2 linked regions of the Arabidopsis thaliana genome follow. The protein of the gene in region 1 interacts with the protein of each later gene in a pairwise test. Each region holds a gene or a part of one and is shown in the gene's direction. Other genes may lie near its edges.

The links. Proteins that work in one complex are often made in the same cells at the same time.
Region 2: the proteins of RXW8 (region 1) and AT1G24650 interact in a protein complementation assay, tested with the Arabidopsis thaliana proteins (one large-scale study listed by BioGRID).

Annotation. Positions count from the first base shown.
Region 1 is NC_003070.9:21,729,370-21,739,288, forward strand, and holds RXW8 (GDSL-like lipase/acylhydrolase superfamily protein), read left to right. Parts: upstream 1-3,196; 5' UTR 3,197-3,434; intron 3,435-4,048; exon of another isoform or gene 4,049-4,085; 5' UTR 4,086-4,173; coding exon 4,174-4,454; exon of another isoform or gene 4,455-4,551; coding exon 4,552-4,698; intron 4,699-4,801; coding exon 4,802-4,865; intron 4,866-4,989; coding exon 4,990-5,199; intron 5,200-5,828; coding exon 5,829-6,023; intron 6,024-6,448; coding exon 6,449-6,747; intron 6,748-6,968; coding exon 6,969-7,245; intron 7,246-7,571; coding exon 7,572-7,847; intron 7,848-8,141; coding exon 8,142-8,375; intron 8,376-8,460; coding exon 8,461-8,638; intron 8,639-8,716; coding exon 8,717-8,796; 3' UTR 8,797-9,381; downstream 9,382-9,919. Other genes in the region: AT1G58525 (GDSL-like lipase/acylhydrolase superfamily protein), read left to right, coding at 544-787, 881-1,011, 1,100-1,324, 1,427-1,682, 1,803-1,975. UniProt on the Arabidopsis thaliana protein: Acts as an osmosensitive calcium-permeable cation channel.
Region 2 is NC_003070.9:8,732,033-8,739,424, forward strand, and holds AT1G24650 (Leucine-rich repeat protein kinase family protein), read left to right. Parts: upstream 1-2,537; coding exon 2,538-4,710; intron 4,711-4,795; coding exon 4,796-5,283; downstream 5,284-7,392. UniProt on the Arabidopsis thaliana protein: Involved in auxin signal transduction and cell expansion and proliferation regulation.

The DNA of each region.
Region 1 (9,919 bases):
TAGTTTTCAAGAATCTATTAACCATTATAAAATGTTTCAATTTTTTTTTTATGTAAATGTCTTTACTTTTCTTTTTGTTAGGCAATGCAACAAATCATGAAATCGAACGTAATGTGTGGTTGGCAGCACCTAAGTTACCGTTGAGTGTTGTTGACAAAAGAGAAAATTTAAATTTATATTACCATATTCTGAGAGATCATGTTCAATTACACTACCATATTACTCATACTTTTCTTTGTGTCTTCATTAATTTACGGTTATATTTATGAAATTGGTGTTAATGCCAAACATAGTATATTCACGTGATAGACCATTTTGTTACCATGTCATTGGTAAGAAATAACAGTTAAATTTCGTTATCGTTCCAACTAATATCAAAGTAATAACTAATTCGAGATTTCATATATAGAACCTAACAACTGTTGTTTGAAAGAGTTATTTTTAGAAGTCCAACAAATCGAAACCATGTATATATGTGCACATGTCTTTGAATGTAAAACGCAAGCCAATCTCGAGCAGAAAAGTTACAAACTAAAGAAGAAGATGAAGCTTCAAATTCTATTGCTTGCTTTGGTTTTAATCGCTGTTGAAGCGAATGCAGTCAAGCAAGGGATAAACGCAACGATCCCAGCGCTAATAGTTTTTGGAGATTCAATAATGGATACAGGAAATAACAATAATCTTCCGACTCTTCTTAAATGTAACTTTCCTCCATATGGTAAAGATTATCCTGGAGGCGACGCCACTGGAAGATTTTCTGATGGAAGAGTTCCTTCTGATCTTATTGGTAACTATTTGAATTAACTTTTATATTTTTCAAAATTATAAATCATATCTATTTATATATATAATCTGATAAATATGTTATCAAATATTTCAGCGGAAAAGTTGGGATTGGCTAAGACATTACCAGCATATATGAATTCATATTTGAAGCCTGAGGATCTTCTTAAAGGTGTAACATTTGCATCTCGAGGAACTGGTTATGATCCATTGACAGCAAAAATTATGGTACCATATATCTTATGTTTTTCCATCACGACTGTTAGTTGTTTTTATGGGTGATTCCTTTTTGTTACATTTATGTTTATTTTTGTAGTCAGTGATATCGGTATGGGATCAACTCATATATTTCAAAGAATATATATCAAAGATCAAGAGGCATTTCGGAGAAGAAAAAGCCAAAGATATCTTGGAACATAGTTTCTTTCTTGTGGTGTCTAGTAGCAATGACCTTGCTCACACTTATTTAGCTCAAGCTCATAGATATGACCGTACCTCTTATGCCAATTTCTTGGCTGACTCTGCTGTCCATTTCGTGAGAGTAAGTATTTTATTCGTAGTTATATATAATAATACATAAACTAATCAATAATATATTGTTATATCCACTAACTATTTTATCTTATCTATAACTGATAATTAGGAATTACATAAGCTTGGAGCTCGAAAAATTGGAGTGTTTAGTGCAGTCCCCGTTGGTTGTGTTCCATTACAAAGAACAGTTTTTGGAGGTTTTTTTACAAGAGGATGTAATGAACCTCTAAACAACATGGCAAAACAATTCAACGCAAGACTTTCTCCAGCATTAGATTCTTTAGATAAAGAGTTGGATGGTGTTATCCTTTACATTAATGTTTATGATACTCTTTTTGACATGATCCAACACCCTAAAAAATACGGTAAGTTCATCTAACAGATTTATCTATATAGAAACTATATATTATAATTCATTTTTATTGTCGAACTAAATTTTATTCCAATTATCTCATTTCTTTTAGGTTTTGACGTAGCCGATAAAGGATGTTGCGGTAAAGGACTGCTCACAATATCCTATTTATGTAACTCATTGAACCCATTTACGTGTTCTAATTCTTCATCATACATATTTTGGGATAGCTATCATCCATCTGAAAGAGCTTATCAAGTTATCGTCGACAATTTACTCGATAAATATTTGAGCAAAGTCTATTGATGTTGAGGAATCAAAGAAAATTGTATCTTTTTGTTTCAAATTTTTTTTCATCTTAATTCATGTCTCACTATGTATTCATATCTTAAATTTTAAATATTCATTCTTTTTCTATAATAATATTTGGTGGGATAAAGATAAATATTTTCAACGGAAAAATATACAATCAAATAGTGGAATTTTATACGTTTTAGACTATTTTATTCCTTTTGTAACATACTAGTATAATAATACCCAAAATAGTATACATATGTTACTTTCATAAGAAAAAAAAAAAAAAACTATTCTACAGTACTTAGGCCTGGGCAAAAGAACCGCTAACCGATTAACCGAACCGAGCCGAACCGAAAAACATGGTTCGGTTCGGGTTTGGATAGCTTAAAATAACCGGCTGGATATTATATGTTTTAGATTTCGGTTTCGGTTTTGGTTAGGTTAGTAACCGATAACCAAAGGATAACCAAAGCATATATGTATGATAGATAATATATCACATATATTGTATGTATTGACACTTAACTATGTTCTTCTCTTTATTAGTTTGCAAGTTGAATTTTGTGAGTTGTGAATCAGGTATTTTAATATTATGGAGAGTATGGACCATATTTGCATCTTTGTGAGTTGTGAATATATCTTTTTTTACGTACGTTCTATATCGGTTATTGGTCAATTTTTTTTTTTTGTTTCGGTTTTTAGTCGGTTATTTCGGTTTTGGTTTATTTATGGTTACCAAGTTTAATATCCGAACCGAACCGAACCGAAAGATATCCGAATCGAACCGAACCAAAATTCCTCAAATATCCAAAATGGTTCTTATATTACTATAACCGAAATAACCGAAACCATGCGCAACCGAACCGAAACCGAATGGTTAACCGAATGTCCAGGCCTAGTAGTACTATATTGAATAAAACTTTTATGTCATACTCATGCATATCTCACTTGCAACAAGAAACACATGAATCCAAAATCCATGATTCCTTCTTCACCTTTCCTTTAATTTTTCAATAGTCATAACAGTTTTAACTAACACTTGAGCGAACGTTGTGAAAAAAAACGCACCCACACGTGTCGCTATCTTACCCATTCTATCACAAAACCAACGGTCATAATAAATTCGACCACAGAGTAGTCGCTCTCACATAGTATCAAATCTTGGAGCATCAACCATTTTATAACCGACACGTGGCCTAATCGTCGCTCCCTTCTTCACCGGCCACACAACGTGGCCTAATCATTTGTATTTAATTTTAATTATTTGCATGTTTTCATTTTAAGTTATGATTTGAATGAACTGGAAATGCGAACTCTTCGCGGAATTGGAATTTTAAAAGCAATTCGGTGTTTCATTTTTTTTTTTTTCTCTTCTCTTCTCTGCGAATTCTTAGGGTTTCTGAATCTTCTGGTTCTCTTCGCAATCGAATTCTCTGAAGTCAAACCAAAGTTTTTGGTATTTCTCTCTGTAAGTCATGTTTTTTTTTTTTTTTCTGAAATCTCTTCGATTTGGTTTATTCTGTTATACAACTTCGTGTTGTATCTGTAATTTTTCTGACGAATTGGATTTGATGATTTTGCTTCGATTGATTTCCCTGGGAATCGAAATTGTGTTTGTTTCACTGGATTTAGTGGAATGCGATTCTCTGATTCATTGTTTGTTCTACGTTTCCGCGTTTTCATCTATCGTAGTTCTACTTTATTGTTTAGGCACCATTGAAATTGCGAATCGTAATTTTGATTAACGGAAAACAGAAATTGATAACTTGAAATTGAATCTCAGTGCATTATGTTGTTTGTTATCTTTGGGTCGTATGTAACCAACTTATCTTCCTCTGCAAGTTTAGGTACTGATTATGATTTGATTCATGTTTCCAATTTTTCGTATCTGCAATGCAAATGCAGAAAGTTTTGGTTAGTGTTAAGATAGTTTGGATTCAACTTACACGTTTGATCGACGATTGTTTATCAGTCTCTTTCGCGGTGTTTCGTTAGCCTATCTGTTTTTTTAAGCATTGGATTTCAGGACTTTTGTTATTTCGATGTTCTTATCTTTTTTCTTTTTGTGATGTTTTCTTACAGTTTCTCCTGCCAATCTAAGAACCTCCTGTATTGCTAGGTTGGCCATCTTGTGACGAGACGACGTACTTATGAAGTTCTTCTCTTCCTGCGATTTTTAGTCAGGAAGGAGTTGAACTAAGATTAAGATGGAGATATCAGCTCTTCTTACATCTGCTGGAATTAATATTTCGATATGCATAGTTCTTTTATCACTTTACTCCATACTTAGGAAACAGCCAGCCAATTACTGTGTATATTTTGGCCGAAGGCTTGTTTGTGGTGGTGCTAGACGTTATGATCCTTTTTGGTATGAGAGGTTTGTGCCGTCTCCAAGTTGGCTTGTGAAAGCATGGGAGACTAGTGAAGACGAGTTATTAGCTGCTGCTGGTCTTGATGCTGTCGTCTTCCTTAGGATGGTCATTTTCAGGTTACTGAAAATAAACTCTCCCAGATGCTTTTTCTTTGTTCTGCTTCTTGGTTTTGTTCTGTAGTGTTTGTTTTACTTTGTGTTTTTTGTTCTGCAGCATTCGTATTTTCTTTATAGTTGCTGTTATTTGCATTGCCTTTGTGCTGCCTGTTAATTATTATGGGCAACCGATGGTGCATAAGGAAATCCATTTGGAGTCATCCGAAGTGTTTACAATTGAAAATCTTAAAGAAGGCTCAAAATGGTAAATGTTTTTTTTTATCTCTACCTATGTCTCTTTGAAAGATGTTACTCTATGCAGAGTGTGTAAAGTGCTGATTTTTTCTCATTACATTTATTGCTCTCAGGCTGTGGGTTCATTGTCTTGCACTGTACATTATAACCTCAGCGGCATGTCTTCTGCTCTACTTTGTGAGGACCTCGTACCTTAGTTTATCTCATGCATACAGCATACTTGAATACTTACTCTTGGTTCCTCCATGTATCTTCTTATTAGTTTATTTCCCAACCTTTTGACATTTTTTTTATACTGTAGGAGTATAGCACCATAGCTAAAATGAGGCTTGGGCATATTACTGGATGTGCCTCAAAGCCAAGTCAATTTACCGTTCTTATCCGTGCTATTCCATGGTCTCCTGAGCAATCTTACAGCGACACGCTGAGCAAATTCTTCACAAACTACTACTCGTCCAGCTACGTGTCCCACCAAATGGTCTACCATAATGGCATCATTCAGAGACTGCTGGTACGTATATTTCTTGGAACAGTCATTTTTAACTAAACTATTACGCAGGCCACCTTCCTCTTGCTTTACTTGTCAGATTAAAACCGTCACCTAGATTTATTTTAAAAAACTGTTATTGCTCTTTGTGAAAATGATTTGAAGTTTTGAACATTTTGCCAGCTTTAAGTGTTACTTCTTATTGCAGTATTCATTTTGGTTGATAGCTTTCGTAGTTGGTGTAAATTTCATGGTTCTGAATTGTTATGTGCTGCTTGGATGTTATAAAGGGTTATTTGATGACTAGATGCAGAGATTGATGATATTACATAGCACAGTAGATATAATAATGAAATTTAGTTCGTGTATCAGCTAAAAGGGGTACAGTTTAGATGCATATTCTGGGAATATGAAAGGACCTTCTAGAGCAACTCTGTCTGTATCCTACTGCTGGGCTTTCATTCTACTGCTTTCTGATACTGTGGTTATTTCAGTATCACTACATCAGTTTCTCATTTATTACCTGTCAGCATGTTGTAGAAATTGGGTAAATGATATGTGGATGGTTTGTGCTTGTGATAAAGTATTTGAAATTTAATGTTCTATGTCAGATAAAAAGTGTGACGTTTAGATTATTCCAATTTCTGTCTCAGCGTGATGCGGAGAGGATGTGCCAGACTCTAAAACACGTTTCTCCTGAAATCAATTGTAAACCGAGTTTAAGGCCATGCACCTTTTGTGGAGGACCTACAGCCACAAGTTCTTTTCATATCCTATCGAATGAGGCAGACAGTGTGAAAGGAATGGAGCTTGGTGAGTTGACTATGACTACGACTACGACAGAGCAAGTAAGGAATTCTTCTGTCTTTCCCTGATCTAGGCATAGGATGTGGATATCTGTTATTTCTTCTGTCCAGTGGAGAGGATCGTTTCAACTAACATTACAAACTGATTTAGAAGTTTCCACTGCATTTCTTCTCAGTTTTTCACCTGGTCCTGACAGATAAAGACTTCTTTTACTTTAATGGGATACAAATTGAACTTTGGAAGTGGCAGTCTGATTGTCTGATACTGCATAGACTTGTATAGTTTTGTTTACTCGGTACAGTTTTAAACCATCATTAATGATTTGTAGCACCATATTCGACAATTCAGTATAGTTAACTAAGATTTTTCACTTTTGTGGTAGCGATTAGAAGTAGCAATGCTTGATTTTAATTAGTCACAATATAGAATAGCTTACTAAAGCCACAAAATTTTCTGCGTTTTGCAGGAACGTTCAGCTGCTTTTGTGTTTTTTAAGACTCGCTATGATGCTCTTGTTGTTTCGGAGGTTCTACAATCATCAAATCCTATGTTATGGGTGACAGACTTAGCCCCAGAACCTCATGATGTGTACTGGAAGAATCTCAACATTCCTTATCGACAACTTTGGATACGGAAAATAGCAACCCTTGTTGGTGCAGTTGCTTTCATGTTTGTGTTTCTTATTCCCGTTACCTTCATTCAAGGGCTGACTCAACTAGTGCAGCTGTCTCACGCATTTCCTTTTCTAAGAGGCATCTTGAGCAAGTGAGTGCCCTGCTGGTTCCTTACGCATGTATATATATATGGTTTTGTTTCTTCTGGACATGATATTAGAATTGGCGTTAAAAAGTAGGCGGAACTCCGGTGCAGTATAGAACACACGAGCCTTCTCTATAGCTTTCAAACCATTGGAGAAATCAAAATTTATGTTCTTGATTTGTTTTATCATCTTTCAAGTTAATCGGGCCACCAAAACCATTTTGCAGGAACTTTATAAACCAGGTCATCACAGGGTACTTACCCAGTGTGATCTTGATTCTATTTTTCTATGCCGTTCCACCATTGATGATGTATTTTTCGGCCTTGGAGGGATGTATTTCACGGAGTATAAGGAAGAAGAGTGCTTGCATCAAAGTCTTATATTTTACCATTTGGAATGTGTTCTTCGTGAATATATTATCAGGGTCTGTTATCAGGCAACTGAATGTCTTTTCTAGTGTCAGAGACATACCTGCACAACTTGCTAGAGCAGTGCCAACACAGGTAATTTACCCATAGTCCTTTTACATTTCAGAGCAAAAGTTTGAATTTTGCTAATGTTCAGGTTTCTACAGTCTCTGAACATTAGCTAGGTTACATTTTGCCAAGATCTTGCAGCTTTCGGATTGGATATAGTGTTTTCTTGCGCTGGAACTTTAATAGTTTGTTCTTTTTCCTCGTTCCATGATAAAATTATATATCAGAGATATTAAAGCCCATTGGAGGAATTATTTGGGATTGAGCTTTTCTGGTTGCTTGTGTTTCATATTTATTAGGAAAAATGAAAATTGTATCATTGATTTTGAATATGGCTTTAACCATGTATGCAGGCTGGCTTCTTCATGACCTATTGTTTCACATCTGGTTGGGCCAGTTTGGCTTGTGAAATAATGCAGCCTATGGCTCTTATCTGGAATCTGGTAGCAAAAGTTGTTACCAAGAACGAGGATGAGTCATATGAAACACTTAGGTTCCCATACCACACCGAAATTCCTCGGCTGCTTTTGTTTGGGCTCCTGGGTTTCACCAATTCAGTCATAGCACCACTGATACTGCCGTTTTTGCTGATATACTTTTTCCTTGCATATCTCATATACAAAAATCAAGTAAGTGTGTTCTCTGATCTCTTGTACATAATATCACAGTTAATCTCTCCAAAAGCATCATAATGGACTTGTACCTAATTTGTGAAAGCTTAGTTACTTTGTGACCTGCATGTTTTAGATGGAAATTGGATTTGTGCTTTTCGGAATTTTGCTTCTGCAATGTTTATAGTCATGTACAATGTGATAAGAGCCATTAGTAGTGCCAAGCTCATGCATTGAGTAAAAAGAACTCTTGATATATATTTTTAAAGACAACCCTTTGTAGATGCTCAACAGAATTGTTTCTATTTGCAGATACTCAACGTGTATATTACGAAGTACGAAAGCGGTGGACAATACTGGCCTATTTTCCACAACACAACAATCTTTTCACTGATCTTGACACAGATTATAGCTTTGGGGTTTTTCGGATTAAAGCTATCAACAGTTGCTTCGGGTTTCACCATACCGTTAATTCTTCTCACGTTACTTTTTAGTGAGTATTGTCGGCAGAGGTTTGCGCCCATTTTCAACAAAAATCCTGCCCAGGTATATTAAATGTAACCAAAACCTTTGATGTTCCTACTGCAGTTTATGCGTCTTCTCGGTGCTTGATTGATGTGTTTCTTTTCAGGTTCTCATAGATATGGACAGAGCTGATGAAATATCAGGAAAGATGGAAGAGTTACATAAAAAATTGCATAATGTATACTCGCAGATACCATTACACTCTCAGAAATCATCGAGTAAAGCTGAATGTAGTAATCCTTTCAAAAAGCAGGAGTTACCAGATCCTGAAAAATTGAAGCCAGGTTTCGAGTTTATATCACTGTTTGTGTATGATTATAGATATCACTTGATTAGAGACTAATGAGATTTATATTTTTCAGAGGAGGGGGATGCGATAGCTAAAGAGTTATGGGGATTCCAAGGCAATGAATCTGGTCAAGAACATGACACTAAGTCCTGAGCATCTTTCTCCAAAGAAGATCGAACTTCACAAACGGAACTAGACAGATGTTTTTACTAGTGAAGTGCCTATGTGTTGGTTCAATCACAAAGTCTCCAACAAATCAGTGCATTAAGCACAAGAGTTCTCTCGTAGGCATGCTCAGCTGCAAAACCAATGTTACTGGGAATACTTTCACTCACTTGAAGAAAAGTAGATGTAAGTTTTTCTGGGATATTTGATAATTTCTTCAATGAAAATTCCTATACAAATTATATGGGGGAAACATGTACAGTCTTGTTGCCAAGATAAAAATGTACATCTTATAGTTACTGCAAGAAGAAATGGAACTTCTTTATAGAGCTCAGAGTATGAGAAACTAAAACTATCAATCTCTTTGATGAGATGGCCATTTTTCAGTTGTTCATCTATGGAAATTATGTCGTACGAAAGGTGGAAGAAGTAGGATATTGTGAGTTCCTAGCAGATAGGATTTATATACATAAGATCAGGGAAGTAAGTGGTGAAAAAGCAGAGATGATGATTTTACCGAGGAAAAACAAAAAAAGCGAGATGTTGACACATGTTATCTAATAAAATTTGAGAATTTTTAATTTTATTGGCTGATTTGTTTGGAGTTTAACTAATAACAATTGTTACATAATCTTAAATTAATTATATAAAAAAATTATGGTTTCAATTTACAAAAAGCTTAATATTTAACTTAGAGATATATTTTCCCTACTTTTTCCATAATATGAAGTTAAAAATAAATAAAACTATACTTATGCTAAATAATAAAACAAAACAATTGGAATTTTATTTCATTAGCTTATCTGGTTGGAGTTCTAATAATAACAATTGCTTGACATTTCATTTATTATATTAAAAAATAAGAATATTTATTTCCATTTAACCCATATTGTAACTCACTAGATTTTAACCCGCGGTATACCGCGGGGATAATATATTTTTTTAAAGTTAATATATAGAAAAATTTGCAACTTGTATCTATCTATAAAATATTTTTATTTTATAATTTACAATTGTTATTAAGTAACGTCCTGCCAAATCCGTCCCGCCAACCCGTCACGTAAAAATACTTATTTATTTTATTAATGTTGATTTTATTTATGGTATGTTT
Region 2 (7,392 bases), about 13 Mb from region 1:
CCTGATATATGATGTGACTTTAAAAGTTAAAGCCTTGTTAAACCCAAGAACGGGGTTTTGGGATGAAGAGGTTCTTCATGACTTATTCCTGCCAGAAGACATTCTCAGAATTAAAGCTATTAAACCAGTGATATCTCAAGCAGATTTTTTCGTTTGGAAGTTAAATAAAAGTGGAGATTTTTCTGTCAAGTCTGCCTATTGGTTAGCTTATCAAACAAAGAGCCAAAATCTGAGAAGCGAAGTCTCTATGCAGCCTTCTACTCTAGGGTTGAAAACTCAGGTGTGGAACCTTCAGACTGATCCAAAGATTAAGATTTTTCTTTGGAAGGTGCTTAGTGGTATTCTTCCGGTTGCCGAGAACTTGAATGGTAGAGGAATGTCGTTGATACCACATGTCAGGTCTGTGGTGAGCTTGGGGAATCGACGAATCATACCTTGTTTCTATGCCCACTCTCTAGACAAATTTGGGCTCTTTCTGATTATCCTTTTCCTCCTGATGGTTTTAGTAACGGCTCTATTTATTCCAACATCAATCATCTCTTGGAGAACAAAGATAATAAAGAATGGCCTATTAACCTCAGGAAAATTTTTCCATGGATTTTGTGGAGGATTTGGAAAAATAGGAACTCTTTCATCTTTGAGGGGATAAGCTACCCAGCTACTGATACAGTGATAAAGATTAGGGATGATGTGGTGGAATGGTTTGAAGCTCAATGCTTAGATGGTGAGGGTTCTGCCCTTAATCCTCCCCTGAGTAATGGTGTTCATTTTGTAGGCAGTGTATCGGAGAATTTATGGATTAAACCTCCAGCGAATTGGGTTAAATGTAACATTGGGGCTTCTTGGTAAAAAAGAAACAATTTTGCTGGAGGGGCTTGGGTTTTAAGAGATCAGGATGGTATAGTGTTGTTACACAGTAGACGTTCTTTTGCTCCTATCTCTAGCAAGGCTGATGCTTTGCTCAGATGTCTCCTATGGGCTATGGAGAGTATGGCCAGTCATAAAATTGATAATATTATCTTTGCCTTTCAAGATAAGTCTCTGATTGGTGCAGTGTTGAGACCAAGGGCGTGGCCTTCTTTTAAAGCTCAGAGTGTGGCTTTAAATAGATCATAGTTACCTTTTTTGGTGTGGAAGGTGGAATTGGAATTTTCTGCTGCAAACAGAGGAGCAAACCTCATCGCCCAAAGTGTTACGGAGGCGTCTCGGTCTCAATCCTATGTGGCTGTGGGGCATCCTTATTGGATGAATGGTGTGTTTGTTGAAGAAAGAGGTTTGTATTCTGTTTGATAGTGAGAAGTCGTTTTGGTGTTGATGCTCAGTGTTTGAGATCAATGGTTTGTATATGGAGGGTTTGGCTTATGTGGTGCTCGATGGTTCAGAGCTTATTCTTTTTTGTTTAGACCACTTTTGAATATGTTGGAGTTGGGTCTTGTGGTAGGCTAACTTGTTCGCTTCACTTTGGTTTAGTTTAGCCTTGTAATCGGTGGTTTCATATTCTGAAACTTTTAATTTTCTAATATAATCCAGATGACAAAAAAAAAAGGTATTTTTGTGAGTACCCAACTTCAAACTTGACCTAAAAATAAAGTAATAAAAAAAGGAGCAAACAAAGAGGATAATCATCTAATTATTTGACTCAATAATATGCATAGATGTAAGACCTCAGTTTGGTTGCTAGAATAGCTCTGTGTTATTGAATATCGAATTTGTCATTTGCTACGAACTTGATCATGATAACCCTTACTTTTAAAGTTTTTCCTAACAGTAATTTTCCTCAGTTTATCAAAAACACCACCGTTAAATGGTAGGACTGGTCCAAATGATTATAGAACTTCCAATGAGAAAAAATATATGATATTTGACAATTATAATTTACTATCAATAAAAGTAAGTTTCTTTTTAGTTTATTATAATCATATATATTTCAGTTGTATTCAATTTTATAATGCTAAAAGCCTAAAACTATAAAACCGTTCCAAAATAAATAAATGAGAGTTTTGGAATTTTCATTATTTTTAAAAAGAAACAAATCTCAGTAAAAAAAAATACAAAAAAGAAAATATAATAAAGAAATGTAGATTTACGAACAGTGCAAATGCATTTTGTTAAAATGCTATTTCAGCAAATAAAGAAACTAAAATAAGATACTGGGCCTAGTTACACAAAAGAAAAAAGAAAATAATACTGGGCCTTAAAATCTATGATTTTTATATATCTGGGCCTGTAAATACAGAAAGATTGCGTCCTTTAACATTCTTTCCTTGGTCAGATGAAAAGGAAACAAATCATTTATTAACAAAACCAAGAAATGGGAAATAACAATAAAAGCACTTCCCTCGCTCAAGTCAATTTAATATTTCCAAAAAAAGCAATAAAATCTGCCGTTTCGTTTTTTCCTTTCTCATTCAATTCAAGAAGAAGAAGAAAATCTCCGCCCAAAAAGTTTCTTCCTTTGAAGTCTTTAAGCCCTAATCTATCACTGTCTGTGAATCAACGCCTCCCTGCGTTTGTTTCTCAGTTGAAAAAAAAAGATAATGATCGCAAAAAACTTCCTCCTTTTGCTCTGTTTCATTGCCTTGGTGAACGTTGAATCGAGCCCTGATGAGGCGGTCATGATAGCTCTGAGAGACTCCTTGAAGCTATCTGGAAATCCAAACTGGTCCGGGTCGGATCCTTGTAAGTGGTCTATGTTCATAAAATGCGACGCAAGCAATCGGGTCACCGCGATCCAAATCGGGGACAGAGGAATCTCAGGAAAGCTACCTCCTGATCTCGGAAAGCTAACATCTTTGACGAAGTTCGAGGTCATGAGGAACCGTTTAACAGGACCAATACCGAGTCTTGCTGGGTTGAAATCGTTGGTAACTGTGTATGCTAATGACAATGATTTCACTTCTGTCCCTGAGGATTTCTTCTCTGGTTTGAGTTCTCTTCAGCATGTTTCTCTGGATAACAATCCTTTTGATTCTTGGGTGATACCTCCGAGTTTGGAAAACGCGACTTCCCTTGTAGATTTCTCTGCTGTCAACTGCAATCTTTCCGGGAAGATCCCGGATTATCTCTTCGAGGGGAAAGATTTCTCTAGTTTGACGACTCTGAAACTGTCTTATAACTCGCTTGTATGTGAATTTCCCATGAATTTCTCCGACTCACGTGTTCAAGTTCTGATGCTTAACGGGCAAAAGGGAAGGGAGAAGCTTCATGGGTCAATTTCGTTTCTGCAAAAGATGACTTCTTTGACCAATGTTACGCTGCAAGGGAACAGCTTCTCCGGTCCTTTACCAGACTTTTCTGGTTTAGTCTCGTTGAAAAGTTTCAATGTTAGGGAGAATCAGCTTTCGGGTCTCGTTCCCTCTTCTTTGTTTGAGCTGCAATCTCTTTCTGATGTTGCTTTAGGTAATAACTTGCTTCAAGGACCAACTCCAAACTTCACGGCTCCTGACATTAAGCCTGATCTGAATGGTCTCAATAGTTTCTGCTTAGATACTCCAGGTACTTCTTGTGATCCCCGTGTCAACACGTTGCTTTCAATCGTTGAAGCCTTTGGTTACCCGGTGAATTTTGCGGAGAAATGGAAAGGAAATGATCCTTGTAGTGGATGGGTAGGGATCACTTGTACTGGAACTGATATCACAGTTATCAACTTCAAAAACTTGGGGCTCAACGGCACTATATCTCCACGATTTGCTGATTTTGCGTCTCTTCGTGTTATTAATCTCTCTCAGAATAATCTTAATGGTACTATTCCACAAGAGCTCGCTAAGTTGAGTAACTTGAAAACACTGGATGTTTCGAAGAATCGGTTGTGTGGTGAAGTACCTCGTTTTAACACAACTATTGTTAACACGACTGGGAATTTTGAGGACTGTCCTAATGGCAATGCTGGAAAGAAAGCATCTAGTAATGCTGGGAAAATTGTTGGTTCTGTTATTGGTATTTTGTTAGCTTTGCTTCTTATAGGGGTTGCTATTTTCTTTTTGGTCAAGAAAAAGATGCAATATCATAAGATGCATCCTCAACAACAATCTAGTGACCAAGATGCGTTCAAGATTACAATTGAGAATCTGTGTACTGGTGTTAGTGAAAGTGGATTCAGTGGTAATGACGCTCATCTAGGAGAAGCTGGAAATATTGTGATCTCAATACAAGTTTTGAGGGATGCTACATATAATTTCGATGAGAAGAATATACTTGGGAGAGGAGGATTTGGAATAGTTTACAAGGGAGAGTTGCATGATGGAACAAAGATTGCGGTTAAGAGAATGGAATCTTCGATTATAAGTGGAAAGGGTTTAGATGAGTTTAAATCAGAGATTGCTGTTCTTACTAGAGTTCGCCACCGAAATCTAGTGGTTCTTCATGGTTATTGCTTAGAAGGCAATGAGAGACTTCTTGTTTATCAGTACATGCCACAAGGGACATTAAGTAGGCATATTTTCTATTGGAAGGAAGAAGGGTTGAGGCCTCTCGAGTGGACTAGACGGTTGATTATTGCATTGGATGTGGCTAGAGGAGTTGAGTATTTGCATACTTTAGCACATCAAAGTTTCATACACAGAGATCTTAAACCTTCTAATATTCTTCTTGGAGATGACATGCATGCTAAAGTTGCTGATTTTGGTTTAGTCCGGCTTGCACCAGAAGGTACACAATCAATTGAGACCAAGATTGCTGGAACATTTGGTTATCTTGCACCAGAGTATGCAGGTATGGTTTTATGCTTATTTTGTATGTTGCTACTCGTTCTAAACTCACTAAATGTAAAATATTGAAATCTCTATGTACATTGCAGTGACCGGAAGAGTTACAACAAAGGTTGATGTTTACAGCTTTGGAGTCATCCTCATGGAGCTACTAACGGGTCGAAAAGCTCTTGATGTTGCACGATCTGAGGAAGAAGTACATCTTGCCACATGGTTTAGGAGAATGTTTATCAACAAAGGCTCATTCCCAAAGGCGATAGACGAAGCAATGGAGGTCAACGAAGAGACACTCAGAAGCATCAACATAGTAGCTGAGCTTGCCAATCAATGTAGCTCCAGGGAACCGCGAGATAGACCCGACATGAATCACGTTGTCAACGTGTTGGTCTCACTTGTTGTACAATGGAAACCCACAGAACGAAGCAGTGACTCGGAAGATATCTATGGAATTGATTACGACACTCCTCTTCCTCAACTTATTCTTGATTCGTGTTTTTTTGGAGATAATACTCTGACGAGCATACCTTCGCGACCTTCCGAGCTTGAAAGCACATTCAAATCAGGACAAGGGAGGTAAAATGTGTTAGAGAATTAGCTGGAACATGGAATGAGAAAGGTTTTGCTGTTGGATGAGTTCTTGTTTTAGGTTTGCGGATAGTGAATATATCTTGTTGGTTACCTTCCTTTTCAAGTTAGGGTGTCCTTTTCGCACGAATGGAACCCATATGCTTAAATTGGACACGTGTTTTGGTCTTTTGTCGTAGACTAGCTGGACACTTTCTAGATATTTAGAAGTTTAGGTTGGGCATTGGCATTGTCTCAAGAATTTATTTTGATTGATGTATCATTTGAGTCAAATGGTTTGACATATATAATTTTTTATTTTATAGTTTTCCCGAATTTCAACTGATTTCTTTTATGGTTTAAGACATTGTACATCACAATTTGTACATTTTTATTGTGCTTTACATCATATGCTACGTACATAAATGATCAGGCATCAAACTTTTTTTTTAGTTGTCTCCTACGAGTTGTCTCTACATGGAAACATTCAGGCCTTGTCTTATTTTTTAATACAGAAGAATGGAAAAAACACAACAAATTATCTCATTTAGCTTTCATGTAATCCATCAATTAATGGAGATTATACGGGGCTAATACAAATTTAGGCACATTTTGGGTCAAAAACAAAAAAATTGTATTGTCATCAACATTACTTAGTTTTATTCCATGCATGATGGAACTTTGGTTGAGGATTTCGATCCCTCACAAGGTAAATTCCATCATTTCTAACAACCCAACGACGCAGAGCACCACATCGGTCAATGTTGCCTGCTCTATATGCTATGAATTCTTTATAATATCGCATGTATAAGCCGTGTTTCAAAAGACAAGTCCATCTTGTTCTTCTTCCTAGCTTGTCTCCGAAACGGATTTGTTTTATTTCCTTAAATTATAAATTTGCTACGTCTAGATTGTCGTCTCTTGAATGACAATGATACTGGAGAACCAAACCGGGACCAAGCTCGTTCATAATTTCAATTGTGTTACGTTTACAAGACAGAACTGATACAAGCAATCCAAAATACGTCGCAATAACAAACATAAAAATTATAAAACGATTCATTTTTTGGGTAACATGAAAGTCCAATTTGAATTTAATGACACCAAAGTACAGTATCTATAGTTATTTTGTGTGGTTAGTATTTGACGATTTTCCTATGGCCTTAATGAATTAGTTAAATTGAAACACAAACATGTTAGTTAATAATAGATAATGTCTAAAAGTATTGTTGACTAATAAAAAAAGCCAAATGAATTCAACATTACAAATTATTAGTGATCCAAAAAAAACTAACAAAAACCAAAATTTAAGATATAACAAATTTTTTTGCAAGTATATTAATTTAATTCCGGACGAGACAATTTGGAAGAACTGATTTGAACATAACAAAATAACAGCAGCCCTTAGGCAAATGCATGTACATTAAGTTTAACTATAAATGACCTTTAGCGGACTAGATTTTAACATAATGAGTTTATAAAGAAGAAGAAGAAGAAGAAGATGAGATCGTTAAGACATTCGAGTTTCTGAAAAGATGACTGTAAGTCAGATCAAATTTCCAATTGCTCATGGATCTGTTATGACTTTCTCTAATCGTGCTCATTATTCCGGTTGAGAACGGGAATGGAGCGAAGAATGATGAGGCTGAATCCCAAAGAACATTGTAAAATCTCTCTTTTAGTGTTCTTGAATCTCGGAAAATAATTAGGTTTAGGTTTTCATATTTTTAGTTGATTTTGGTAGGTACCCGTTTTGTTACTGGAACCTCAGTGGTAACTATCAAGTACAAAGATTAGATTTTAATGGCTTCTGATATGGGAGGTATAATGCTCTCTACCTAGTTTCAGCTCTCTAGTTATCTTGTATATGATTGATACTCTTTGTTACTTTCTTGGTAGATAAAGCATGCATGCTTCATTGTTCAAAAGAGTGCTTGCTAATTTGCTATATAGATAAAAGATCCAGATTCTGGATGTGTAAAATTTATATGATGTTGTAATTCACTTGTAGAACAAGTGTATCTTTTAATAATCAGAAAATATTGTGTGGTCGTCAGATACACAACGACGTCTCTTTATGATTCTACGTCAGAAATTAACTGAAAGCATTGCAGTGATTTAA